Linked DNA regions of Astyanax mexicanus. The protein of the gene in region 1 purifies or fractionates together with the protein of each later gene. This does not show direct contact. Links are inferred from orthologs where the notes say so. Each region holds a gene or a part of one and is shown in the gene's direction. Other genes may lie near its edges. The genes, in order: larp7, ppm1g, nop56 and pop1.

Region 1 (7,035 bases):
TGTTTTTCCCAGAAGGTTTATATTAGAGCCTTTTCCACTAATGTTTTTAAACGCTTGAAACTTTAGATAACAGTAATTTCACCCTTGATCAGCATCAACTTTAATCCCAACACACCCTACAACTGAAGACTGGGGATATATAAGGCAAGTATTCTGCCTTTCATCATGATGGTGAGTGCTCCAAAAAACAATTTCGTCTCAAATCCTTGCCCATTTCGGTTTCCAGTCTGCAGCATTACCTTGCTTGATATTTAAGGCACTTCCGCATGCACTCTAAAAAGTGATTTTGTGGTTTAGTCAGGAGAAATAATATTAGCAAGTTGAGTGAATTTACCGGGCAGTACAACTCAATAAAATGAGTTCAGACAATTTCAACCTGAAAACTTAAAAATGCTTATTGAGCCAATGAAAACATTTGATTTCAACCAACTTTTAGTAAACCACACGTGTCAATGCTCTTTTCACAGTAGGGTTCATACAGCTTTCCTATAGGCTCCTGGCACCATATATTAGCATTTTGGGTGTGGCCTCTCCTTTATTTACTATCTTTGTGTTGTCTGTTGCCCAAAGGTACCTTATCCTAGTCATGCATTCTCAGTGTAATGTAAGTGTTGATTGCCAGGCCTCAGTGTTTGTAGGCTTTAAAAACGTATCACTCTTATTCTGTGGTCTAAATTGTCACAGTATGTTAGTTCTATAAAAATATGTTAAAAATGTTGGAAATACTTTCATATTTAAATAATTAAAGCCAACAATTCTTGAAAAAAACTGTTGAGCTAATTAAACTACTGTTGTGTGATCAAAACTTCAAAGTCAAAGCTAAATTTGTTAAATTGAGCCAATGAATATTTATTTTCTATATGTTTATAAAAATTGTTTAGTTTAGTAGTGTTTTTCTGTTGACATGTACAACAAACACTTCTGAGTTTGTTAATCTAACTTAAAATGTTTTAGCAACTAATTTTAACACATTTTTTAGTTGGCAAGTCTAGCATATATTTTTCGATTACCGTGAGTAAATATATTAAGTTCAGCCAACTTAAAATATTAGATAATGATAAAATAACTATGATGAATTCTATGTTAAAGTGATTCGATAATTTAAGTTAAGCAAACATTTAAGACTTGTTAGGTCAACTTAATTGTGTAAGTGCAGAGAACAAATGAGCCATAAAGTTGTACTAGCTTTAAAAAAAAAAGGAAATTTGTTGCTTACGGATTATAAATTAAAGTGTTCAAATTTTTTACAGTGTACATGAGATATCCTTTTTCCAATTTCCATTAAACCATTAAACAGGTACTTTACACTTTTGATTAGCCAATGAAAGTAATTACAGTTAATCTCTGTTGTACAATTTGCTGAGTCTCATTGGTTCTATGGCCTTACATGTACTAGCTTGAAAATGCAAATCTAAAACTGCAGGTCTAGAAATGTGGTTGGCTCTGTGGCTGTGCAAACGGATGACGTAGCTTTAAACCAGTAGAGAAACAGATAGTCTACCATCCTTTAAACAAGAAAATCAGATATAATCAACAATCCTTTACACAAAAAAATCAGATATAGTCTACCATCCTTTAAACCAGTGAAACAGATATAGTCTACCATCCTTTAAACCAGAAAAACAGATATAGTCTACCATCCTTTAAACCAGATAAGCAGATATAGTCTACCATCCTTTAAACCAGAGAAGCAGATATAGTCTACAGTCCTTTAAACCAGAGAAACAGATACAGTCTACCATCCTTTAAACCAGAGAAACAGATAGAGTCTACCGTCCTTTCAACCATAAAAACAGATAGAATCTACCATCCTTTAAACCAGCATAACAGATATTGTCTACCGCCCTTTAAACCAGAGAAACAGATAGAGTCTACCGTCCTTTAAACCGGAGAGACAGATATGGTCTACCATCCTTTAAACCAGAGAGACAGATATAATCTACCATCCTTTAAACCAGAGAAACAGGTAGAATCTACCATCCTTTAAACCAGAGAAACAGGTAGAATCTACCATCCTTTAAACCAGAGAGACAGATATGGTCTACTATCCTTTAAACCAGAGAAACAAATATAATCTACCACACTTTAAACCAGAGAAACAGGTAGAGTCTAACATCCTTTAAACCAGAGAAACAGATATAATCTACCATCCTTTAAACCAGAAAAACAGAAAGAGTCCACCATCCTTTAAACCAGAGAAACAGATACAGTCTACCATCCTTTAAACCAGCAAAACCGTTATAGTATACCATCCTTTAAACTAGAGAAACAGATATAATCTACCATCCTTTAAACCAGAGAAACAGATATAATCTACCATCATTTAAACCAGAGAAACAGATATAGTCTACCATCCTTCAAACCAGAGAAACAGATGTAGTCTACCTTCCTTTAAACCAAAGAAACAGATACAATATACCATCCTTTAAACCAGAGAAACAGATACAGTCTATCATCCTTTAAACCAGAGAAACAGCTGTAGTCTACCATCCTTTAAACCAGAGAAACAGATACAGTCTACCGTCCTTTAAACCAGAGAAACAGATAGAGTCTACCATCCTTTAAACCAGAAAAACAGATAGAGCTCCCATCCTTTAAAATGTAGAAACACATATAAAGTCTACCATTTCCTTAAACCATTAGAAAAACATAAACAAGAGGAACAAATAGAGTCTAGATGCTAGTTTTCCTATCCTGTAAAACAGTAAAAAAATACAGTCTGTTGCTTCAAACAAGTAGAAAACATAAAGAGCCTACCAACCTTTAAACCAGTAAATCCAGAAAGACTACCGTCCTTTAAATCAGTAGAAAAATCGAGTCTACCATAATTTAATCCAGTAGAAAAACATATAGAGCCTACCTTCTTTAAATCAGTGGAAAAACATATGGAGTCTACGATCCAGTGAAACAGTTGAAAAACAGATGTTTTATAGTGACAGGTCTTTCCCAGGTAGTTTTCTATTTGCTTTGAGCGGTTTCCATACATTTCTGTACATTTGAAGCTTTAGCTAACAGTAACTTTACTAGAGTTTAGTATCAACTATAGTCAACACATATCTAGCAATAGGGAGGATTGCAAGACTGGTGTTTTTTTACTATTCTATTAGTTTTTCAAAAAGTAGTCGTAATTTGCATAATAAAAGAAAAAACTCGGGAGAGTGCTATATTGATTAATTAATTTATTTGAGCTGTTTCTGATACTGATTAACACAAACAAATATGTCAAATATTAGCGTGAGGGCTGGATCACGTTGGTGTTCAGAGCTGACCAATCAAATCAGGTCATAGCTTTTCTCCAGGGTAATAAAAGTGATTGACACCTATTTCAACCAATAATAATAATAAAAAAAACTTTGAACTTCAGAGCGCACACAGCGCGCACACGTGTGGATTTGTGTGTCATTTAATTTAATTTAAAAATTATTAATATTAATATTACTCTGAAATGGACTAACATTATTTTGTCACAAACAAACAAAAAAATATTAAACTCTTGTTGTTTAATGACAGATTTACTTCCTTGGCACTTCCTTGGAGAGGTTTTGAACACTTTGGAGACGCCTGGTGGACACCTAATATAATGCAACGTAGCTTGTAAATGCTTTCTTGTAAATTTCTCAAATTTTGTAATTTGTTTTCAAGACACTAGTGAATCAGGAAATATATATATATATATATATATATATATATATATATATATATATATATATATATATATATATATATATATATATATATATATATATTTATATATATATATAAATATAAGATATATATACGTAGGTAAAGAAAACCTTAAAGAACAGGATGACAGAATTTAAGAAGTTAGATTTGTGTAGATACTATACTATTTCCCAAAAAGGGAAAAAATATTCAAAATATGATTAACAGTAGATATATTACAGTTTAAACCAAAGAATAACATTCTTACATGTTATATTCAACCTAATCAGTATAAAAAAAATTAAGGTGAAGGCGTGGTAAAAGCGTGGCGGGGTGGGAACCTCTTTACTGGGTCATCAGTGTGCGCCCGGAGTCCTGCACGCTTAGCCTCGCTAGCCTAGCCGAAGCTAACTTACCACACCGGAGTTTAGGGTTTGTTTTTGTTCCTCCTGCAGCTGATTCTGATCATTAAAACACCCGAGGAGACGCAGAAACACAGCAGATAACCCCGTGTACCGGCGGGTCTGTTTTAGAACGGATTTATTGTGTATGTGATCGCTGAGGAGCAGTTAGACTGAACACCCGGTCTGCAGAGAGCAGTGAAGAGTGGGATGGTGCTGCTTTGAGTTTGGCGCTTTCGGCTCGACCATCAGGTGAGATACAGCTGCTCTACCTGCTGCAGCTCCTGCCCTGTGCTTTTACTGTCTTTTCACTGTTTTACCCAACCTACTGTTAGTGATTAACACACAGAGTTCAGGAGAGCGAACTGATGAACATGATTAACGTGTTAGAGCAGAGAAAATACTAGTACAGTACCCTGATCCTGTACTACTACACTCATATTCCAATAGAGAATCTTCATTGCTCAGCGTTGTCTATATACAGCTCTAAAAAAAAAAGAGATCACTTTAGTTTCTGAATCAGTTTCTCTGATTTTGCTATTTATAGGTATATGTTTGAATAAAATGAACATTGTTGTTTTATTCTATAAACTACGGATAACATTTCTACCAAACTCCAAATAAAAATATTGTTAGAGCATTTATTTGCAGAAAATGAAAAATAGATAAAATAACAAAAAACAAAATAAAAAGACATCAAATAATGCAAAGAAAACAAGTTCATATTCATAAAGTTTTAAGAGTTCAGAAATCAATATTTGGTGGAATAACCCTGTTTTTAATCACAGTTTTCATGCATATTGGCATTTTTTCCTCCACCAGTCTTACACACTGCTTTTGGATAACTTTATGCCACTCTTGATGCAAATATTCAAGCAGTTTAGTTTGATGGCTTGTGGTCATCCATCTTCCTCTTGATTATATTCCAGAGTATTTTTTTGTGTCATTACAGGTTGTAGGTCTGATATTATTTTCATTCAATTGATGATCTCTTTTTTTTAATATTTAGGTATCAATATTGTCATTTTAGTCTGACAATGAATGTCTGTACAGAAATCGACTATACGTCCAGGAGTGTCCAGTTATGTCCAGTCACCCTTCCTTGTGTGTTGAGTCACACACCAAGAAAAGCATTTCCAGTCTAATGGGGCACAATCACATAATGAGCTTAAAGTCTCTTTGGCAAGTTTGTCCAGAGTTAAGTGACTGGGTCTAAAACAGAGCTTGGTTATGCTTATGATTCACAGTGCTTCTGGCAAAACTATGTTTACATTTTTTGAATGCTTTATTGAATTCTCTTTCCGGGGAATTGGTTATTCATACACAAGAAAATTCTCTTGTGGATACCCCTTTTTTTACACACATACAGCTTGTTCAATCCAAATAGAAAAGCAATTAATGAAATGTGCTGTGTACCACATAAATATAAGTTAATGGTTTTAAACATGACCTTAGTTAAGTTCTCTGGAGTGATGGAGTTCTGTTTAAAAATAACAAATAACAGTCGTCATCATCATCATCATTTTATTCACACATATATGTTTTTCACACATAAATTTGTTTTTGCATTATTGCTGTAAATTCCAGGTATGACAGACAGCGAGAACATGTCGACTGGAGGAGACCTGAAGGCCAAGGAGCTCAGTGAAAAGAAGCAGGATAATGAGAAAAAGAAGAGGTCTCGGGTGAAACAGCTGTTGGCAGATGTGAAGAAACAAGTGGAATTCTGGTTTGATGATGTGAACCTTCACAAGGACAAATTTTTACAGAACGTCATTAGTAAATCAAGAGATGGTTGTAAGTTGAGATTACCTCAAGTTTTAGAATGACTGTCATTGTTGTCTTTGATTGATGAGTGTCTAAAGCGGCATTAATAAAAAGAATGTATTAAATCTATTGTCAAATCCATGTAGTTGTTTTAAACATAAACTCATTGCACGTTTTGGTCTTGTTTTGCAGATGTTGACATATCTCTTCTAACAACCTTCAATAAAATGAAAAAGTTGACCACAGATGTTAAACTAATAGCGAGAGCTCTCACAAATTCCTCTGTGGTAGAGGTAAGAATTGCCTGTATGTTAAAAAAAATATATAATGATTGTGATAGTAATGATAGTAATAATGATTGTGCCTTCACTTGATATTCTTGGATTTATTATTTGTCAGGTTAATCTCAAAGGAACTCAAATAAGACGTAAAAATCAACTGGGGGACAAACCTCAAGATATCGACAGCCGCACAGTATATGTGGTAAACATCATTTTTATTATTGGCTAATTTTTTATCTGTAAATGTTTATCTGTCAGTTGATCATAACTTATGTGTCTGTTTAGGAACTCCTGCCAAAAGATGTGACCCATGTTTGGATAGAACGAGTGTTTAGCAAGTGTGGGAATGTAGTGTACATCAGTATACCCAGGTACAAGATTTCAGAGTCCCCCAAGGGCTTTGCTTTTGTGGAGTTTGAGACAGATGCTCAAGCACAAAAAGCCATAGAGGTAGGTATTGGATTCTACTTCACATGATAAATTATTGGGTTACATTTTTGTGTTTTAGAAGCTAACTTTACAATTCAATAATTTACGCAATATCTTCTATTTCATAGATGTTGAACAACCCTCCAGAGGATGCTCCAAGGAAGGCAGGCATTTTCCCAAAGTCTTTAACAGATAATCCTGTCCCTTTGTGTACAGCACAGGATAGCACACAAGGTACCCTTCCATATGAAACACAAATTGTTTGGCAACACATGTACATTTGCCTTAGATCTGTTAAATACACAATATTCACTGAAGTCATGTCGTATTGTTTCCCAGGATGCATTAATAGGCATTCTGAGGTTTTAAATTATGATATATCACTTTGTACACATTTTAACAACAAAGCTTGCACAAGATTGTACTCTGTTCAGTGCCATTTCTTTTAATAAATCACACACAGAGGGTAATATTGTGATATAATATTATTTAAT
Region 2 (7,247 bases), on another chromosome or scaffold:
ACTTTAATCACTGTGTTTTTCCTATTGGGCTCATTAGCGCATGCGCATGGAACTGCAGCCACCTACAATCTGATCATCGCTCTCGGCCAGAGTGAGAGTATACATGCACTTCAAGCTGGGGCCAATGCCCCGTGGCCCCGCCCCTAGAACCGCCAGCATTCCATGAGGGTGTTTTCAATGAAACTACTGCTGGGAACACAGTAAATGAAGCCCTAACTACAAAGTTAGTAACTAGAGATGTCCAGCAGCGCCGCTAATCGGCCGATACGAGTCATTACAGTCCGTTCAGTAACATCACTAAACTACGACCATTCGCTTTATCATAAAATCACCCCATTGATACAAACTATACCCCAGAGTTTACAGCACAAATTCTATACGTTTTATCATAAAATTACCCCATTGATACAAGCTATTCCCCAGGGTTTACAGCACAAATTCTATCTGCTTTATCATAAAACTACCTCATTGATACAAGCTATTCCCCAGGGTTTACAGCAATAATTCTATCCCCTTAATCATAAAGTCACCCCACTGATACAAGCTATACCCCAGTGTTTACAGCACAAACTCTATCCGCTTTATCATAAAGTCACCCCACTGATACAAGCTATACCCCAGTGTTTACAGCACAAACTCTATCTGATTTATCATAAAATCCCCCCACTGATACAAGTTCTACCCCAGAGTTTACAGCACAAACTCTATCCGCTTTATCATAAAATCACCCCATTGATACAAGCTATTCCCCAGGGTTTACAGCACACATTTAGTCAGTCTAACTCAATAAAATAAAAATCAATTTACATATTCACCTTTAAATATTAAGACAGTCTAACTCAATTAAAACAAGCTCAATTTACAAAGTCACCTTTAAATATTAAATCAGTCTAACTCAATCAAAACAAGTTCAATTTACATATTCACCTTAATGAATTAAAAATGTAACAGACTTGTGCAAAAATATTTAGGAATTGAAAACAAAAACTCAGTTTCACAGTCCCATCTACAGATTCAGATTAAATGCAAAGTGAACAAAACATACAACAGTCTACTAAATATTTAAAAGCAGTTCACAAAAAAGTCTTAAATCATTTCGAATGAACTTTTTTTTTAACAAGTTTGCAAAAAAAAAATACATTATACTTTTTGTTATTGATTCCCTTAAGAAAGTGACAAAAACATGAAAAGAAATAACCATGTGTTCTGCCCTGGTCCAAGCTAAACCGACACAGGTCCACTTATTGGGGTGGCATTATAGCATGCTAACGCGGTGTTAGCATAACAGCATGCTAACACAGAGACTCTGGCCCGCTCACGGGGTCGCTAATGCGGCGTTAGCATAACAGGGTGTAAGCCCGGTCTGTGAGCGCCCAGTGCCGGACCGTGCCTGGCCACCAGATATTGATCCCTCGCATAAATGATATCCTTCCGTTCAGCTCAGCTGTACTATTAACGAAATAATACAGTGGCATTCATAAAGCAAACAAAAAATGACAGCACAACTGCATTACTATATACATTATATATATACATTACAGTATAAATTAAATAATTTATTTTTTTATATGTACATACATATAAAAGTAATGCTCTTTATAGGTATATATTTGAGCAAAATGAAGAGTATGTGTGTGTACATATAAAAATTAAATTAGTTCATTTATACAGTTATTATATGCCATACCGTACGTCTGTCTTTGTTAAAGAGCATAAAACAAAGTATGTCAGCATGAAAGCACATATTTGTAATGTGTGACAGCGTCCTGTATCTCCTGTAACTAAAAATCCTGTGAAAGGTCTTATTATTATAGGTGTACTAAACACCTTCCTCAGTGTAAATTAATGCACTGGGGGGCGCATGTTGCCTCCTCCAATATGGCGGCCATGCTGACACGCCAGCTCAACAGCAGCTAAACAGCGCCCTCTAGCGGCTGGGAGCATTTCCAGTGTGGCAAACGTAATTAAGTAATTTCGTTTTTCTTAACGCAGCGTTTCTGAAATGCTGCGTTTTCTTTATGTAGTTGCGTTTTCTTTATTTATTTATTTTTAAGAGTGGAGCAAATGTAAGTATACAAATATAGAACAGAATTGGCATGCCAAAACATAGTAGTACTACTACTACTAATAATAATAATAACCACATATCCTATGTTATTTTAAATATTAGGTGATAACTGGTCAGTTTTTGTTATATATGTATATACGCACGCATAATTTTTTCTAACAACAGTAATGTGGAGTAACGTTTAGGTTGTAAAGTGGCCTTTACTTTGATGTAATTAATAATAAAGAGAAGTACAGATTTGTGATTAAAAGTAATTACATACATGTTGTTAACTATAGGGTGGGCTTTGTTTTATATTAGCAAATGTGTCCCCCTAATGTCAAACCCACTCCTACGCCCTTGTGTATTGATGTACTGTATTATTTTCTATAACCAAGACAAAACCATAGGTTTAGATATGTTGAGATGGATGGCCACGATAGTTAAAGACATTTACACAATACACATTTTTTTTCATTATAACCAGCATGTAATAAAATGTACAGTTGGGTTAGAGTTCTTTAAGCGTTTATGATCTCAATATGTGTAAAAATAATAGTGTCTGTATGATAGAAAATTTATTAAAATATGATAAAATATTGCCATGTTGCCAAGCTCTGTTTTGAGATCAATTTAATCTAAAATTTATTCTGACTGCTGCCTCTATATTTTCACTATTTCATCCACCACAAACATTTATATTGAAATTACGAAACTTCTTTAGAGATTTTAATGTAATTGCAACATTACTTTACGATTTTACGAAAAAAAAAACATTTAAAATATTTTAAATCATTGTAAAAAAAAAATGAAAATGAGATCTAATTTTTCTCTTAATAAAGTTTAAAGTCCTGTAATGCAACACTTTTAATCTCCTTGTATTTTTTATACTCCCCGTTTTATGTTTTGTATTTTATGAGAAAATGATTATTACTATTATTATTATTATTATTATTATTATTAATAAAACAGTCTAATGCAATTGTGAGATTAAAGTGTATGAAAACATTTTGCTTAGTTGTTATGTATTGTTTGGGTTAAATAAATGTTTTATTTATAAATTTACGTTTACTAAAAATATTTCCAAAAATAACAGAACTGTTAAAACAATGGATACATGCACGGTATATTATATTTTACATATTTTTGTAAATTATACATTCCACAGGAATATTTTTTCTTTTTTTCGTTTTTATTAATATGCCTTGACATCTGTAGGATTGTGAAATGTTATATCGTTGTTTAACTATAGTATCTGATTATCAATGTTTTAAAAATTCACTGTTTGAATGTTTGGTCTATCGACTGCCGTTTTGCTCAAAGGCGCAACTTCAGTCTCCATCAGCTCGACTCTACCAATTATGCGGGCCTTTCGGTTCAACCAAAAAAACAACTGAGAGGAGAATAGCCACTTAAGAATCTATTCTGTGTGTGTGTGTCCCTTTATCCTAATATAGAAAGATTTATCTGGATACTTTTTTATGCTGAGAAGCCGGAATGAAAACAAGCTGAAAGGAAATAAGAGTAACGAGGCTAACATTTTTTTAAATGTAAGAATTAGAAATGATCAAATCAAACCAAACTTATTTGTATAGCACTTTGAACAACTGATCAGCTTTAAATAAATGTGATCGTGGGACAGAGAATCAGGCAAAACATACAATACAGAAACCCCACTGAGGGACAGAGGCAAGAAAAAACTCCCTCAGAGCTGGAGGAGGAAGAAACCTGGGGAGGACCAGTACTCACATATGGTGGAGGGGAGAAACAGTTTTTAAATGAATGTTTTATAATGAAAGTTATTATACATACAGATCTAATATTTTCAGGTGTATAGCAACACCAAGTAAAAAGTCGTCTGAGATAACCAAAAGTTCTACTTAAGTAAGGTAGCTAATGAAGTATCCGTACTTTGTTAGTTGACACCTCTTGCACTTTCCTCAAAAAAAAATCTGACTTACAGGGCATTCATTAATACTAAAGACCACTGCATAATTATTAAAAAAAACGATAAAATGCGACCTTTAATAAAGGAATATAACGGACAAGCAGTTAGATACTATTTTAATTTGAGTTTAGCCGTTTAGCTCTATTCACTCCCATTAATTTGGGTCTCCCTCGCGGGTTCCCTCTAGCGGTGGGCTGTAATTCTCTGATATAACGGTGAGAGGGGAAGGAGAAAGTGGGCAGGCTCTCCGAAAACCGGCTCTGGTTCCACTTCCTTTAGAGAACACCAGTCTGTGAAATGGGTCCGACAGGCTGCTGCCGCCGCTGATTATGCCCCTCACACGTGTTACATTTTTCCTGTGTGTTTTTTGAGCCTCCTGAACCCCGCCGCCGGTGTGTTTTTGTGTAGTTAGGTTCTCGGTTGTGAGAGCGACTCTGTGATTGGCTCAAACTCCAGCAGCAGCAGCATCTAATCTAGCTACGTTATAGTCCTGCGTTGGCTAACGCTAGTTAACCTAGCAGTGATTATAGAGGCGCTAGCTAGCCGGGGAAAAGTACCGGGTGAACAGCAGTAGCAGCGCCAGCAGCTCTCGAACTGACCGCCTGCTCCTCGCTCTCTTCTGCCCGGGCCTCTGAAATGCTGGAGAGCCCATCTGAGCTCCACCAGACACGCCGCTTCTGAGCTCTGCTTCGTCTGTGAGTTAGCTGAAGCTAGCTTAAATAAAACAGCTCGGTTTGTTTTGTAGCTTAACCAGCTGCGTGCTGTTCTTCTCGAGCTCCCACAACAATAGCTTAGCTAGCTCGGCTGGATCATGGGGGCATACCTGTCTCAGCCCAACACGGAGAAAACCTCGGCCGACGGCGGGAACCACAAGCTCCAGTACGGCTTTGCAGCCATGCAGGGATGGCGCATTTCCATGGAGGTAACAAACCAACCTAACCTAATATAGCTAAGCTAAGCTATCTTATGGGAAGCCTGGAGCAGGCAGAATCAGTGGGGTTATGTTAGTTAATATTAGCTAAGCTCAGCTAGCCGTTCACTTCGATACAGCTAACTGCAGCTCATAAATTGAACTCAAATACACTTAATGGAGTTCGAAGTGAGGGCCGGTGTCCTATCGAGTTGTGCTACCCATCGATATGTGCTACTTTGCGGCTCTGCGCAGGCGCGAAAATATATATAATTTTTTTTACTGTTTTCATGTGTTTTTTCCTTAGAGGTGGGTAACCCAGGTCCAGAAAGTAAAAACCCAATCCAGGGTTTTGTACCAACTGCTTTGGTTTTTCCTGATAATTAACTTATTCTTCCGGATGCCTTGTACAATCTAGACTCAAAATCATCGTTTGTTTGAGTGTAACAACAGTGTAAAAAGTAACAAAAAATGCACATATAAATGTTTTTTTAATCGCCTATACTTTCTTAACTTTACCTTGATATAGCGATTTATGCTATTCAAATATCATACCGACAGTGCTGCTGCATGCAGCATGTTCTAATAGTTTGTATTTTTACAGTTAAACATACACTAAGGTAGCACAGTTTGACAAGGTAGCAGAACTCGACACAACACCGGCCTCATTCTCTTTCATTCTGCTGCTTCAGACAATGTAGCTAGTTTACCAGCCATGCAGCACTAGGTATTATAACCTAACTACCTAAGCTGTTTGAATGAGTTAGGTTAGTTAGCTTAGCTGCGATTCTCAGGGTCGTGTTTGAACAGTGTGATGTGTGCGCGGGTTTTCGCGCCAGTTTAACTTTCTGTCTGCTCGCCGCCACATGGCTGTCTGCATTGTTCTGTGGCCTTCCAGCTCTGCAGCCCTCCTCATCCACTCTGATAATTCCTCTATATCTACACTAACAGGATGCACACAACTGTATTCCCGAGCTGGATGACGAGACTGCTATGTTTGCTGTCTATGATGGACATGGAGGTGAGGAAACGTGGCTTGCGTTAATCACCAAGTACCTAGCTAACATAGTCGTTATCAGCCTCTGCTCTGATATGTAAAAGCGCATTAAATCAGTTAACACTACCCCTTTCTTGGAATTGAGATGAGCTTGTTTTCTCTTCTGTGCATTAGCTAACTAAATATTAAGTTTCTGTAGTGTAATGTCCTGTGGGGTGACGCACAAAGAAAGGGGCACCTTTTTTTTTTACACGTCACAGACCCTTTAAAAGAGATGTAAAGTTCCTTAATTTACTTTATTCCTCATTTTAACTCATAAAGTTCCTAAGTGACACATACTGAGCATCCTGAAAGCATCATCACAGGACATTGTGTGAATCTGTGTTCGTTATCTGACCTTATTTACAGACTGTAGGTGTGCAAGGTTAGTGCTTATTTTATTGAGCTTTTCCAACCATTTAACCAAACTGTTATGAAATTTGTTACATCAAAATATTTACCGGTAGTAATTTTCCTCCACTGCAACTATTCAACACACCAGGTTATAGGAGAAATCTGGTGTGAAATGGACTTGATTTAGTGCTAAACTTGATAACAGTATAATAGCCCACTTCTGTTCACCCCCAGCATTACAAAATACAGCACTGTTAGACAATTCTCCCAGCAGACCTACAATGCAAGTGATGGGTGCATAGTGTTGCCCATGTAAAAATCAATTTCGAAATAAATAAAATAAATCTCTTCTAAATTTCTACACCATTAACAAGCTCAAAGTAGCCCCACTCATGCTTGGTAGAATTCTGAGGACCTTGGCATTTAAAACATTAGAACAAATTCAACAGTTCATCAGTTGCAGTATGTGGGCCTGATAGTAAGACATATGCACTTTCTCTTTCCTTCCAGGTGAAGAAGTTGCTTTGTACTGCTCCAAATATTTACCCGACATCATAAAGGAGCAGAAGGCATACAAAGATGGCAAACTGCAAAAGGTAAGCACAGTAGTTTTTGTGCAAGCGTAGAAGATTACAGCTGTGCATTCATCAGTCTTCCTTTCAACCACAAAGTATATTTTGACCATTTCAAGGAGAGAATGTAAAGGCTTTGCACTGGTAAACCATAGCAAGTGTCAGGCCCTGAGTTAAGCAGTGTTAATTGTGTGTACACAGATGTTCTGTGTACTTTTAAAGCAGCTTTTGTGCATGTGTCCTCTGTTTGCGAGGCGCACACCTAACAGTGGTTGCTAGGATATTGCAGCTGGTTAAATGAAAGGACCTTAGCTGTCAATTATTTGGTATTTGATAAGTAGCATTTATGGATTTCACCAGAAATTTAGAGCAGCTAGCGT
Region 3 (6,938 bases), on another chromosome or scaffold:
AAAAAAAGGCTGAGGCCAAAAACTGTGGGATCTGAAGCAACCAAAAACATTCTTGAGTAAATTACAAAGCATTTACAAAGCAGTTATGTTGTTTTACATAACAGTACATATTAGTTTTATGGTGCTGACAGCATCTAATTCTATAATTTATAGTACCAATACACACAAAACAACAAGCCTTGTAATATGTAATCCTCAGACGTTCCTAATGCTTTGTGTTCATGTATTTCAGTCTTCAGAGGAAGGCGCAGTCAGTACGATATACTGCGCTGTATCAGAAGACACTGAGGGGATCACAGGGAAGTATTTTGACAGCGACTGCTCCCTTGTCCTCCCAGCTCCACTGGCCAGAGACCCTGCTTTAGGAGCCAAGGCCTTCGAGCACTGCGAGAGACTGACTGCTAAGCTCTAAAGCACTGAGAGAACAGCAGATCTCCTGCCCTATCACAATACAGCATTACAGAACTGCTCTGAAAAGTTGGAATATCTAATGGCTTGTAAACACACTATTAAAAATACTATATAAAGCCAAATTCTTTTTTTCTCTATTTTTTTAAATACCAAAATAAGTTATGGGGTACATATAGTAAAAACGAAAAGAAGTTCATAAAGCAATGTATGTTAATTAAAGACATTTTAAAGGCATTTGCAGTTGTGATTCCAATTTCCATATTATTATACTCAGAAACCGGGTTGTTGGTGTCAGGGTGCAGCAAGGAATGGCGAGCAGAGCGGACGCAAATGCGAATATATTTATTTAACAATAAACAAAAGACAAAAATAAACATATAAACAACTGAAACTAAACTGAAAACAGGAAACACTGGAAACAGAGCCGCAACCATAACAGACTTAAAAATAAATAATACAAGGACCGACACAAGAGAAAGGGAACACGGACTATAAATAGTGGTGGACACACACGGGAAACAGGAAACACCTGGGACTAAGGGGCGGAGCTACAAAGGAACACAGGTGAGTGGAAAACTACTGAGACAGGAGACACCGAGGAGCACAGGTCACGTGGGGATATAACACAGACATGAGACAGGGCCAGAAAAAAAGGTAAATAAACACAGAAGCATGAGAACAGACAGGGACCATGTGACAGTTGGCACATGTGGCACTGACTGACTGCTGTATCATACCTGCCATGCAATTGTTGCCACATGCACGAACTGAGCATTTGGGACAGAATCGGGCCTATATTTAATCTGGGCCGATGCAACTTAGACTCTTTTCTGATTGGCTGCTCTGTTCTTTTTTCACAGTTTTTCTCAGTCGATTTGGTGCATTTTTCAGATCAGAATTGAAATTCTCAAAACAGTTCATTCAGTCTCCACATCTCTGTGTCACTTCATAAGTGCATTTCTCATTGTGTTTCACATTTTGCAAATGCGTGTCATGTTCAATTATCAGCTGTTGTTTTTGCATTATCCATTGCTTATGTCGTGCCCATCAAAATGTGATGAGCTGATTATCTGTTTAATTGTCTTACCCTCCAAAACGTTTAGGCTGTCGGTCACTGCCTGGGTCATTACATGCAAAAGTGCTGAACAGGTTGTCATAATCTCTTATGCATAATTTATACATTTCTATGAAACTTTTTTGGTACATTTTGGTAATTTATTCTAAATTGTCCTCAGGTGAATCTTGGAGAGAAGCATCATAATGCATAAAAAAGAAAGCACTATCATTCCTCAAGTTGTTGTCTTAGGTTGTTTTGAATGTTTAGAGTAAGTTTCTAATTGACTTTAATTGTCTTTCCTAAATTTCTGTCAGTAAAAAGAATATTACTCAGAATTTTTTATTACAGTCCAGTTTCTTGCTGTCAGTCTCCCATATACAGTCATGATAAATTGTGTTTTGTGTAAGTTTGTATTTTGTGTGTAAAACATGCAGTTTTAGTTGATTTGATTTGAATCAAAATCTTGTTTCCAAGATCAAAGACCAGGGGTCTTGGTGTTTGTCTGTTGGTACCATGCAGTGCACTATGGAGTGAGCTATAAACACTGTGAGACCTTGAATACTTCAGACATCTGGTTTCCATCAGCAACAATGCGTACAATGTTTCTCTCCAGCAAGCAGCACTGGCACACTCTGCACTCAGTGTATCCTGATCACTCAGTACCTGAGTTACTGCTGCTCTGTGACACTTAAAAGATTTAAAAGTAACTTTTTTAACCTAGTTTTAGAAAGTTTTATGAATGTGTACAGTTGGGAACTAACTGTTCTGTTATCAAAAGTTGTTTGTCAAAATGTTATAACTTATGACATTTCACATGCAACTGCCTTCTACCCTACTGCAGTGATTTTAAAATTATTAATATAACTATGTTTATATATTAGATGGATTTTTACTTAACTTTACTTTACTTTTTAAACACAAAACAAAAAAAACACTTTTGTACAACTCTTTTTTTCTGTTTTGCAAGGTACAATTATTTCTAATATATACAAATAAATATTATAACAAACACAATTTAAGGTGTGAAAGATATTATACAAATTATTATCCAAACTAAAACATTATATTCAGGTTAAGCTCATTGATCTTCCTGGAAAAGTACAGTCACATATGACATCACAATGGGGTTCCCTTGCAATCGCCATTATGACATCACAATTGGGTTCTATCATTCTTCTGTTTATTAAGTTCTGTAACTAATTTAGATAAGCTATAAAACAGCTCTTTAAGCCACTCACTGAGCTGCAGCATAAAACCAAAATTCACTGGAACAAATGAAATGAGTCTATAAAGGAAGTCACAAGGGAAGCAGTTATGAATCACATTGCCACTGAAGGAGAGTCACCTTGGAAACTGAAAATACTTTAAACTTCTTTATAAGTAATTAGTGAAGAAGAAAGTGGTGGAGAGGAAGTAAAGGGGTAGAGAAACGGGTGGAGAAAGGAGCCATTTGGGCGCTCTAAGCACAAATGCTTTGTGTTGTGCCTCTCACCAAACCCCCCTACACACATGTAAAATGTAAATACTAGTCCAACAACTAAATCTAATAGTTGTTTCTTTTTGTGTTAAAGCAGTAGAGGCTATGATGATATATTCCCAGCAGAGGGCGCACCGGTGCAGTTTAACGCGGAACAACTGACAAAAATATATAATAAATATATATAATAAATATATAGAAATTAAATTTCATTAAATGATCTATATGTCAAAATGTGAAATATAAAAATATATATATAATTTAAAAAATAATAAAATAAAAACATATTTTAAATGTATATTAAATTAAATATAAATAATAACAATAATTATCAGGCATTTAATAAATAATTCATCATTATATTAATAAATAATGTGTGTAAAAATGGCTGAAAACATACGTCCAACAAAAAGAAAAAAAATAATCTATATATTTTTTGTACTCTGCCTAGACTCGAAAAAATGTAGTATTTTTTACATTTTGAAATAAAAATTAAATAAAAAGCTTTTGTTTGTTAAGTGCTGTTAAAAGCAATGCATGTATAAATTCAAGATATATAAAAATCATATGTGCAAACTAATAGTATTGTATTATTATATTTACGCTTGTTTATATTAATATTGTTTATCGGAATTACTGATATTATTATTATTTTTGTTGTGATTGTTATAAATGAGCAAAATGCTCATTTTTAATGTATATTTTTATTAATAAATACTACAATTTAAACATGAGGTAGGCCAAGTAGATTGGAAAATGAATATTGAATGGTTTTGATATAATATATATATTTCCTCACATGTAAATAATACACAGTACTCAGGGTTTATAATTTAAAAATTATCCTAATAAATGTTATTCTAGCTAAATATCCATGCAATTTAATGCTATAATATCAGAGGAAGTTCTAACTTTATTGTTTTTATAAGAGAAACACCGCGAGATCTGTTGTACCAGCACGGATCTGAAATCTCGCGAGAGTGGTAACATAAAGCTCCACATGGCCTCCCCTCGGCAGCACATGCAGCCTCTTCTTTCTGCAGCAGCTTCAGTAGAGGGAGGCACGCGGAAATCAGAGCAGGATGGTAGCTACCACTTTTAAACACTTTATTTACCTGGAAATACTATTTAATACTCGTTTATTAGCGCATTATTCTAAAAGTTAAAGCTTTAATTACGCTGGTTGTGATAATAACTTTTGGCATTTTCTGATAAATAAGCTTAAAATCGACTAGAATTTGGGGCATATTTGTGTAACTTAGCTGAATTTGTATGAGTTTGGCATTACCTTAAATTGTGAATTAGTGAATTATGCTTATTTTTAAACATTTTATGAAAATTATAAAGTGAGCTTGGGGTCTAATTTAAGCCAGAATGTCTAAAAATAGCTGTTGAAATGTTTGTTAGCTAATAATCACGTTGCGTAGCTGCTGCTGCTGCTGTTAGGCCCTGGCCTAGTTTTCCTATGGCGTTTTTCCCTTTAACGCAGCGCAGCATAAAACATTCTTGCAATATACGTTATTTATTTTATTTAAAGCTATATTTTTCTTTTATTTTATATGAATCCGTTTTATTAAATGTATAATTTGAGTGGATATGGTCTGCAGGAGGAACACGTGGGGCACTCGCCTTCAACATGTGTTCAAAACCAGTTAGCGTTAGCTAGGTTAAGCTACATAGCTAGCGTTAGCGTTTGGAAGAAACTGAACATTTTATTTGGTTATAGCCAAGTTTCTCCATTAAAAAGACTCCCATGTGAGCTTTATCTGCTCTAATGTATCCTCCGTGTTCATTAACGTTTATTAAATAAGTTATAAGTAATATTTTTACTGTTTCTAGAGGTCAGGGCTGCAGGAGCGGTTCACGCGCAAACCACGTGTCTGCATTTCTGCAGCGTTTTTGAGCGACTTCAGCTAAACTAAACTAGCTAACAGTTAGTTACAGGCATTTAAATAGATAAAGCTATGCTTTAGCCATCACTCTAAAAACATGTTAATATTACTGTAATCTTTTTCTTTTATTTTCTAGAATGTGTGTTAATATCTTAATATAACCGTAAAATTAAGTTTTGAGTCCTGTGAACCTAAACGCGGGCTAGCTAAATATTACTTCTATGTTTTAGGATTTTAATATTTAATTTTTTAAAGAAAAAAATAATGTTTAAGATCTTAAATAACCCTTTTTAAAATAAGCTATTGGTCCCTGTGAGCCTAAGTTTACTTTTTTAACATTTAATTTAAAATCTTTTTTTGAGCATAAGTTTTATGATAAATCTTTAAAAAAAATAAATAAATAAATTGGCCCCTGTGAGCTTAAACGTTGACTAGTTTAAGTGGAAGTACCTGAACTAAAAAATAATCTATATCATTATTTACCTTGAGAAATAACTTAGATTGTTAGTTTTGCTGTAGTTTAACTGCTTTTATTGTACGTTTAATAACATGGGACCCTATTAGTGTAACAAGGGCTCTGTGATATTAGCAAACATTTTAATCTCATATCCCTATAATTCTGCACAGTGTAAAAAAAAAAAAGTTTTTTATAAAATAACCGTGTTAAAAAGCCACGTGTATTACACTCAACAACTAATTATTGTTTTATTGCGAAATCTTTTACTCAACATTTTTTAAACACAGTAAAATTGTTAAAACGCGGCTTTAAATGAAGCCGGAAGATAATTCAGAGACCCCTAAATCGAAAGCCTCAAATACCAAATTTGGTACAAACCCGTTTTAAATCATTTTGCCTAATTAGGAGTTATTTTAATCTAGAGCTTACATACATCAATGTTTTATCATATTGTGTGTTATTGTATCAACAGTAAGCATATTCAGGATATCAGTATCAGTCAATCTTTTATTTTTTGCTTAGTCGATGACTGACACTACTGATGCATTTTTGGCTGCCTGTTAAAATGAAATTCTGTATATTTTAAATATTTAAAATTGATATCTTTAACGTTTCGCTTAGCTGACAAGTCTGTAGTTTTAAGTGTGTTCTTAAGGTACTAAAGTGGGAATAATTATAATAATAATAAAAAACAAATTTAGAATTCATACAATATGGTAGTGATGGGTAATTTCAGAGATTTTATAGCTGGACAAATTTTTTAAATTCACTTATTTATTCCCCTCCAGGTGCTCTTACACGTGCTGTTTGAGCATGCGTCAGGCTATGCCCTGTTCGCCGTCAAAGAAGTTGAAGAGATCGGCATGCTTTTACCTCAGGTGCGTTTTTATTTTATTAAATCTTCAGGACATTTTCTTAGTGTCTTTTTGTGCTGAGCTAATTTTATGTGCAGCATCTGATTAGATTTTTTTGCTCTTTTTGTATTCAGGTGGAGGAAAGTGTTTTGAATATTGGGAAATTCAACACTGTTGTAAAACTGGCAGCTTTTTTCCCCTTTAAATCTGCACAGGCTGCACTTGAGAACATAAATGCCATTTCAGAAGGTAAGTAAAACCAGGCTTTGAGCTCTGATAGTGTAGCTCAGATAGTGATGTGATTATAGTCTGTCAATCCACTGAATGATTGTGCTGACAACATAAAATACCTAACTGAATCTGAGTGAAAACTGAAACTACATGTTAATAAAACTTCTTAAAGACACAAGTGAATGATCAATAACTGATAAGTGGTTGAATCTCTTGTTAGGAGTCGTCCATGCAGACCTTAAACTGTTTTTGGAAACAAACCTGCCTTCTGGAGGCAAGAAGAAGGCTATGCTTGGTGTGGCCGATGGCAAGATTGGAGCAGCACTGCAAGAAGAGTTGGGCCTGTCCATTCAGACTGGAGGAGTGGTGGCAGAAATTATCAGAGGTTTGAGGAAGTTTTGATCTTTAGTAGTAGCTGGGTTTCCATTCAGCGGTCATATTATCTCCCCCCTATTTCTATTACTATTAGATGTCTCTAAAGTTATGTTTACACTAAAGAGAAAACTGGCTCATATCTAATTTTCTGACCAAATGCAAGATTTATTTTATGCTTTACGCA
Region 4 (7,934 bases), on another chromosome or scaffold:
GCAACAACAGATGAGCTTCTGTCTCTGACTTTACACCTACAAAGTAGACACTATGTAGGAATCTCTAATATAGTGGAGGACAGTGGGTGGACACAGTGTTTAAAAACTCAGCAGCACTGCTGTCTCTGATCCACACACCAACCACCACGTCAGTGTCAATGCAGGATGGATAATTATCCACTTCCCAAATAATACCTTATCTGTGGTGGTCTTTTAGGGTTCTGTAGATTGGGTTGTAATTCTAGAAATACAAAGTGCTCCTATATGATCAGTGCAGCTGAAAAAAATGACAGAGTGGAAAAAACAAGGATGTAGCCATAAAACTATGATTATAATGTATAATATGTACATATAAACATTTTAAAATAGATTGAGCTGTTTGAAACTGTTGTATTGAATCTAACAGTCATTATAGCTGAATTTTTAAAGGCAAATGCATAGAACAAGGAGTAGTGAATGAATTAAACAGACGGACATATGTAATATTTTTATTGGTAGGGTATAGTGTGTGCTACCCTTATTTGTGTGTTCACTAGCTTACTGAAGCTAGTACTGAAAAACTGCATCCTATAACTCACACCAGTCAAACCTCTCCTGTAAAAATGTGAATTGTGTTACTGGTCCTTTCCTTCCCTCTGTGCTCAGAGTTCACTATTATTGGGTTTTTCCTGGATTCTTAACCGTTTACTCTGTGAGAATTACATTAACGGTTTTATTGGGAAAATGTATCTAATGAATTCATAATCTGTAGCAGGACCCATGTTGCAAACTTGTATTGTAGTTGCATGGGATTCTTCTTTTTTCACATTTTTTAGTGTACAGAACCAATAAAGTTACTTTTACTAATGAAGAAATTTCTGTTTTTTTTATTTTTGTTTGCACCACTGTGGGGTCTCCTTATTAATACAATCACATGGCCAAGATGAACACAGATCTGATGGGAGATAATGCTGCCTTTATATATAATCCAGTTAAAAGGTCCAACTTCCCAGGTGCAAAGTCAGAATTATGAGCTTTACACATTTAAAATGGCAGGCCAAATGTCAGCTAGTGTAATGTTAATAACTTTCACCATGCTAGAAAAATTAATTTGTTCTGGATTGAAGAATAATATAAAGTTTAATGCACATTTATTACAGTTCAAATAATATGCACAAACAACCAGTGACTGCACTAATTTGTACCAACCTGATAGCAAATGAAGACAGAATAATGCTCTGTTCCATGTACACTATTTCAGATTTTGGTGATTTATATTGTATCAAACTAAAACCCTTCCTTTTTTGTAGTACACAGTCAGTAGTGCATTTTTATTTTTTGATTTTGTAATTCTTTTTTTTTTTCTTTTTTTTTCAATGTACTTTGTTTCAGTTTTAGTTCATTGATTTTGTCAGTTTACTTCTAACTTTTGTATTATTTACATTGTGGTCTCAAGTGGAATGAATACCCCAACAATTTAATGATTTTATGTTGTGTTTAAATATAGCTTTATTGCAATTGAAATATACTTAAGTTGCCGTAATTTGTTCTAAAATAGTACATTTTATATTTATTTAAGTACATATTTTAATAAAAAAAATATGTACTTTTTCATGTTAAGTACACTTTAAAAAAAATACTTAAATACACTTTTCTTTTACAGGGGTTGTTTTAAAAGGCCTGACTGTTACTACTGTACTTAGACAGGTGTTAGACAGGCCAGGAATCTAAATTAGCACCTTAACTCATCCCCAACTCTCCAACTCAACCCAAACGTACTGAATCGTACTATCATGTACTTAATTGTGTTTTTTTAGAATAATGATCTTAACTGATTGTCCTATTTTTAAGCACATATTCAATTGAAAATATATATTTTTTAAATTTGATGATAAATAAAAATTGTGTTGATTTATTGCACAGGATGTATACATTTACCACCATTTTAGATATCATAGTTCCACTGCTACACAGCTCAATGCTGTGGGGTATTATAAAAGGTATTATACAACTCTAGCCCATGCCTGGCATTAGGCATGGTGCTGATTAGTTCATGTTTATCTGCTTAAGAAGTTTCTATTTAATTGGTAATAAATATGTACATTAATTATACCAGTTCTTTTTATCGTTGTTGTCCAATATAAAACAAGTATCTCCATTTTTGTTGATTTTTAGCTTACTAAATTATTTCAACTACCCACATTTCCCTTATACTTTGTCAGGATGTCTTGATTTATGGGCCAATAGAAATCCTCCCAAATTATTTGAACATTGACATCCATTGAAAGTTAAAAAAGGTTTTATATCTCTCCTGTAAAGTTGCTGTTTTGGAGATACTTGTTTTTCATTGGACAGCGACGATATGCATTTACAGTCATCATTCAGTGTCAGAAATGGATGCAAAATAAAGGAGCTAAATGATGCATTCATTACCAGGGTTGTCCACAGACATTACACAGAGTTTATGAACACATCAGAACTGCAGCATTAGTGAGGAGTGTGTCTTCACACTTTCCCACATTATTCATGCTTCACAGCATGGATTGAGTGTATGCAGACAGAATGATCTGTAGTGACAGTTTAGTTCTGCTTATGTAGGCATGTTTCTCCCTGCAGTGATTCCTTTAAACCAGCTCAAACTCGTCTGTTTAAGATAAGTTCCAGCAAAGGGAGTTGCCTCAAAGCAGGATGATTTTATAACTTTATGGCATCTGGGACCAGATGAGCAGGTGAGAGAGTAGTATACACACATTTGCCTAAAGTAAGAAATGAGACTTGGTTTACAGTAGTTCGGAATTAGAATAATATAATATAATATGTTGAAATATGTATTTTTCTGTTGAATCTTTTCTTAGGAATTCTTATTCTCAGCAGTTTTTCGTAAGCACTTGAATGAGAGATTGGCTGTGGTCCCTGTTCTTCTCTTCCTGAAGGGCATGAATTCTAAAAAAAGAAAAAAAAAGCAGATGGTGCGCATATTTGATATTCTGTTGACAAGACTGCCTCTGAAAGCTGCAGGGCTGTTTTTCCACCCAAAAAGACTGTTAGATCATTTTGCTGGATTATTATCAGAGTGTTATTCAGTTTTTAGAGCTGCAAGGTTCCTGAATACAACACATGTAACAACATAGATGATGGGCCAATTAATTATCAGCACAAGAAAAAAAAAGGAAAGAAAACATTTATAGTATGTAATCTCTTACTGTCAGCATTTCATTGCAGATTATTTGTCATTTCTGTAAACTACCTCACCTTTGACTGTCAACTATACCAACTCTGTAGCAGCAGTAGCATTAACTTTAATTTAATACTGTATAAATACAGCCATATTTCATTTTTAACATCGTAGGAACATCGATAGTTTGTATAAAGATACATGCACACATACTTACAATGTACAGTACCAGTCAAAAGTTATGACGCAGCTTCTCAGTCAGTGTAATGTTTATCAGTTCAGTTTAGGCTAATTTCGAAAATAGAAAATTGGTGGTTAAACACCTTTATTATGTAACTCTTACAATTTGGTGCAGTATAGAAGAAATAGTTTTTTTTTTAATCTAATTTTCCAATTTTCTATTTTCTTTATTTCTGCACCTCACAATTTTAGGACAAATAAAAAAAATCTTCTGTCAATTTTTTAGATTTTTCTTGTAACAATAGTAAGTTTATTATTAAGTTCTACATCTAAAAAAAAGAGTTGAAAGGAGAGTAAATTTTTCAGTTCTGTTAGTGAAAGTCAGAAATAGAACACTAAAGATTGCAAAAGCAGATCAATTTCTTCTTTACTGAAGTAAATGAAAAAAAACATTTTTGTAACAAGTTTTATAAACAATTTTCTATGTTTAAATTTATCCTGAAACATAAAATTAAACTGATAAATGTTATGATGCAACGTTTTTCTTTATTTAATGTATTTTCTACATTGTAAATTACTATTAAAGACATGAAAGCAAGTTTATTTATATAGCACTTTTCATACACAATGGTCATTTAAAGTGATTTATAAATTAGAAAATACAAAAAGACTCACATAAACGTGTAAGAGAATAACAATAAAAATGGAAATAATAAAAGAAGAATAAAGCATAAATAAAATGTGATTCAAACAATCAATTAAGGGACACATATGGGATTACGTATTAAACAATAAAAAGTGTTTGTCCACAATCCCCTGATCTAAACCTGATCAACTGTGATGAGTGATTTGAGATGATCTAGAGCTTCACAGTGTTCAGCACCTCCAGGACACTCCACCTTCCAGACACTGAGAAAACTATTCCAGGTATCTCTACTTCATGAAGACACTGAGATTAAAATACCAAGAGTGTGCAGATCTGTCCTCAAAGATAAATGTGCTACTTAGAAGAATCTAAAATATAAAACGTGTTCTGGTTTGTTTAACTTAATAATTCTGCCTGTTCCTGTATAGCGTTAATGTCTTTAATATTAAATGTACAATGTAAAACATCATTAAAAAGAATAAAACACATTGAATGAGAAGAGGTGTGTCCAAACTTTTGACTGGTACTGTATTTTAACATTTTCTTGAATTTTATTTCTGTGTTTATCATGTACTTAATTGTAGTTTTTAGAATAATAATCTTTACTGATAATTTACTGTCTAATTTTAAGCACATATTCAATTGAATATATATATATATATATATATATATATTTTTTTTTTTTTTTATTTGATCATAAATAAAAATGTGTTAATTTATTGCACATGATGTATACATTTAAACAGGAGAAAAAAAACTTAAAATAAACGTTTTATCTATCTGTTGTTTTTTTTCTAGTTTTATTTGGTGTATATCATAAATGTAAGTAAATGCCATGAGTAAATGTATATTATGTCGTTTTTATTTTATTTTTCTTCTTTAAAAAAGCAAGCCTCTGTCGCAGAACTACAACTCCCATAAGCCCCTTGTACCCGGAAGTGCTGGAACACGTGTGTGGGTAGTGGCGTGCTGATGGTGGGGAAGCAGTTAACTCACAGTGGAGCTCAGTTCAGGACTAAAGTGTTAACTCGTCTTATTCAGGCTCTCTACGCTTCTGCGTTTGATCCGGCGCTACAGTGAGCATTGATTACATGATTATTCATTACAGCGTGTGAATTAATTCATTAATATTAATGATTTTAATCAGGTGTGATCAGAGTGTCTGAGTGCGGCGTGGTTTTGCAGCAGTAGCGAATTCATCTCGCTGTTTCAGCAGAAATACTGTCAGAAGTGTGTTTGTTTTCCAGCTAGATCTGATCTTTCCCGATGGGTGTAACGTTTAGCAGTTAATTTCTGACTGTTGTTCAGTCGATATATGCTGCCCATCAATACGTACTTTCTAAAGGCACTACGCATGCGCTGACCTACACTTTTTAAATATTTCTCGTGTTTGTTTATAATAATTCTATTTTTGTGTGCGTTAAACAACATCGAATCACTGTCATTGCACAAAAGTTTAAATGAAAAATAATAATAGTAACTAGAAAAGGCAAAGTTCGTGAACGAACTTTAAGTTGGCTTGTCAAATAGTTACTAAGTTGTGTAGTGTGTGTGTGGTGTGGAGTGTGTGGGGTGTGGAGTGGGTTGTGGAGTGTGTTTGGTGTGGTGTGTTTGGAATGTGGTGTGGAGTGTGGTGTATGTGTGGTGGAGTGTGGGGTGAGTTGTGTGTATCAGGTGTGGAGTGTGTGTGGTGTGGTGTGTAGAGAGTGTGGTGTGGTGTGTGGAGTATGTGTGGTGTGGAGTGTGTGTGGTGTGGTGTATGTGTGGTGGAGTGTGGGGTTTGTGTCAGGTGTGGAGTGTGTGTGGTGTGGGGTGTGTGTGGGGTGGAGTGTGTATGGTGTGGGGTATGTGAGCTGTGGAGTGTGTGTGTGGTATGGAGAGTGTGGGGTATGTGTGGTGTGGGGTGTGAAGTGTGTGTGGTATGTGTGGGGGTGGAGTGTGTATGGTGTGGGGTATGTGAGCTGTGGAGTGTGTGTGTGGTATGGAGAGTGTGGGGTATGTGTGGTGTGGGGTGTGAAGTGTGTGGTATGTTTGGGGTGGAGTGTGCGTGGTGTGAGGTATGTGAGCTGTGGAGTGTGTGTGTGGTATGGAGTGTGTGGGGTGTGGGGTATGTGTGGTGTGAAGTGTGTGTGGTGTGGGGTATATGAGCTATCGAGTGTGTGTGTGGTTTAAAGTGTGTGTGGTGTGGGGTATGTGTGGTGTGGAATGTGTGGTGTTGTGTGAATTGTGTGTGGTATGTGTGGGGTGGAGTGTGTGTGGTGTGGGGTATGTGAGCTGTGGAGTGTGTGTGGTTTAAAGTGTGTGTGGTGTGGGGTTTGTGTGGTGTGGATTGTGTGTGGTGTGGGGTATGTGTGGTTTGAAGTGTGTGTGGTGTGGGGTATGTGTGGTGTGTGGGGTGGAGTGTGTTTGGTGTGGGGTATGTGTGGTGTGGAATGTGTGTAGGGTGTGGTGTGGAGTGTGTGTAGTGTGGGGTGTAGACTGTGTGTGGTGTGGGGTGTGTGTGGTGTGTAGTGTGTGTGGGGTGGAGTGTGTTTGGTGTGGGGTATGTGTGGTGTGGAATGTGTGTAGGGTGTGGTGTGGAGTGTGTGTAGTGTGGGGTGTAGACTGTGTGTGGTGTGGGGTGTGTTTGGTGTGGAGTGTGTTTGGTGTGGGGTATGTGTGGTGTGTAGTGTGTGTGGGGTGGAGTGTGTTTGGTGTGGGGTATGTGTGGTGTGGAATGTGTGTAGGGTGTGGTGTGGAGTGTGTGTAGTGTGGGGTGTAGACTGTGTGTGGTGTGGGGTGTGTTTGGTGTGGAGTGTGTTTGGTGTGGGGTATGTGTGGTGTGGAGTGTGTGGGGTGGAGTGTGTTTGGTGTGTGGTATGTGTGGTGTGGAATGTGTGTAGGGTGTGGTGTGGAGTGTGTGTAGTGTGGGGTGTAGACTGTGTGTGGTGTGGGGTGTGTGTGTGGTGTGGACTGTGGAGTTTGTGTGGTGTGGAGTATGTGTGGTGTGGAGTGAGTGTGGGGAGTGGACTGTGTGTCGTGTGGTGAGTGTGTGGAGTGTGTGTGGTGTGGGGTGTGAAGTGTGTGGTATGTGTGATGTGGAGTGTGTGTGGTGTGGGGTATGTGTGGTTTGAAGTGTGTGTGGTGTGGTGTATGTGTGGTGTGTGTGTGTGTGGTGTGTGTAGTGTGGTATTGGTTCTGGTGTGGGTTGTGTTCAGCAGTCTCTTCTCCATACAGATACAGTACTGAGGAGCAGGGCAGAGAGGGGGGCCGTGCGCAGGATCGGCTGGTGTGTGTGAGATGGCCAACATTCCGCCCATTCATTCCTATGGGGAAAGTTCGTACGATACTTTTACGAAAACCGTAAATCGTATCGGTGAGATCAGCATATCGTCTGAAACGTCTCTGCAAGTTCTGTATGTCTTGTGAATTTCGTGGTTCTAGCTTGAAAATTGTGACTTTTACAGCAGTTTGAAAAAAGTGTGAATGGAAGTCTATGGGGAAAAAAGTGACTTTGACGGAACCGTGCTAGAACCCTGGTTCTCCGATCGCTTAGAAAAGCACAAGCAACTTAAGTGGCTATGGTTTCTACCAACCTGTGAAGTTTGGTGGTTCTAGCTCGAAAACTGTAGGAGGAGTAGCGTTGAGAAATTTTAGCGTAGAAGAATAATAATAATAAGAAGAATAAGAAGAACTATAAGTTGGCTTTGACAAGCCAACTTAATAAATACAATTATTATTTAATACATTTAATACAAAACCAGTTTGTAATGACCTCTCATTGACATAACTTTACCATGATACAGTGATTTATGCTATCCAAATATACTAACGCTACATCTACTGGGACTTCTGCTGGGAACATGCTCTAATATGGTGCTTTTTTCTGTGGTTAAATTATACACTAGGGTATCATGGTTTGACAGATTACCGTATCAAGCTAAATTCGAAAATAAAAAAAAAATGGGTATAAAA

What was found.
Region 2: the proteins of larp7 (region 1) and ppm1g purify together in Homo sapiens (affinity purification with mass spectrometry; 3 studies listed by BioGRID and IntAct, with this or other methods). This does not show direct contact. The link is inferred for Astyanax mexicanus from reciprocal best matches to the Homo sapiens genes LARP7 and PPM1G.
Region 3: the proteins of larp7 (region 1) and nop56 purify together in Homo sapiens (affinity purification with mass spectrometry; 3 studies listed by BioGRID and IntAct, with this or other methods). This does not show direct contact. The link is inferred for Astyanax mexicanus from reciprocal best matches to the Homo sapiens genes LARP7 and NOP56.
Region 4: the proteins of larp7 (region 1) and pop1 purify together in Homo sapiens (affinity purification with mass spectrometry; 3 studies listed by BioGRID and IntAct, with this or other methods). This does not show direct contact. The link is inferred for Astyanax mexicanus from reciprocal best matches to the Homo sapiens genes LARP7 and POP1.

What each region holds. Positions count from the first base shown.
Region 1 is NC_064415.1:28,221,267-28,228,301, reverse strand, and holds the start of larp7 (la-related protein 7), read left to right. Parts: upstream 1-4,025; 5' UTR 4,026-4,316; intron 4,317-5,651; 5' UTR 5,652-5,653; coding exon 5,654-5,861; intron 5,862-6,023; coding exon 6,024-6,124; intron 6,125-6,230; coding exon 6,231-6,314; intron 6,315-6,397; coding exon 6,398-6,562; intron 6,563-6,669; coding exon 6,670-6,775; intron 6,776-7,035. UniProt on the Homo sapiens protein: RNA-binding protein that specifically binds distinct small nuclear RNA (snRNAs) and regulates their processing and function.
Region 2 is NC_064414.1:18,138,122-18,145,368, forward strand, and holds the start of ppm1g (protein phosphatase 1G), read left to right. Parts: upstream 1-4,241; 5' UTR 4,242-4,806; coding exon 4,807-4,917; intron 4,918-5,856; coding exon 5,857-5,926; intron 5,927-6,805; coding exon 6,806-6,891; intron 6,892-7,247.
Region 3 is NC_064424.1:42,801,221-42,808,158, forward strand, and holds the start of nop56 (nucleolar protein 56), read left to right. Parts: upstream 1-3,929; 5' UTR 3,930-4,027; coding exon 4,028-4,030; intron 4,031-6,082; coding exon 6,083-6,172; intron 6,173-6,282; coding exon 6,283-6,397; intron 6,398-6,599; coding exon 6,600-6,764; intron 6,765-6,938. Other genes in the region: zgc:64106 (retinol dehydrogenase 11), read left to right, coding at 233-412. UniProt on the Homo sapiens protein: Involved in the early to middle stages of 60S ribosomal subunit biogenesis. Required for the biogenesis of box C/D snoRNAs such U3, U8 and U14 snoRNAs. Part of the small subunit (SSU) processome, first precursor of the small eukaryotic ribosomal subunit.
Region 4 is NC_064408.1:108,227,361-108,235,294, forward strand, and holds the start of pop1 (ribonucleases P/MRP protein subunit POP1), read left to right. Parts: upstream 1-4,919; 5' UTR 4,920-5,056; intron 5,057-7,934. UniProt on the Homo sapiens protein: Component of ribonuclease P, a ribonucleoprotein complex that generates mature tRNA molecules by cleaving their 5'-ends. Also a component of the MRP ribonuclease complex, which cleaves pre-rRNA sequences.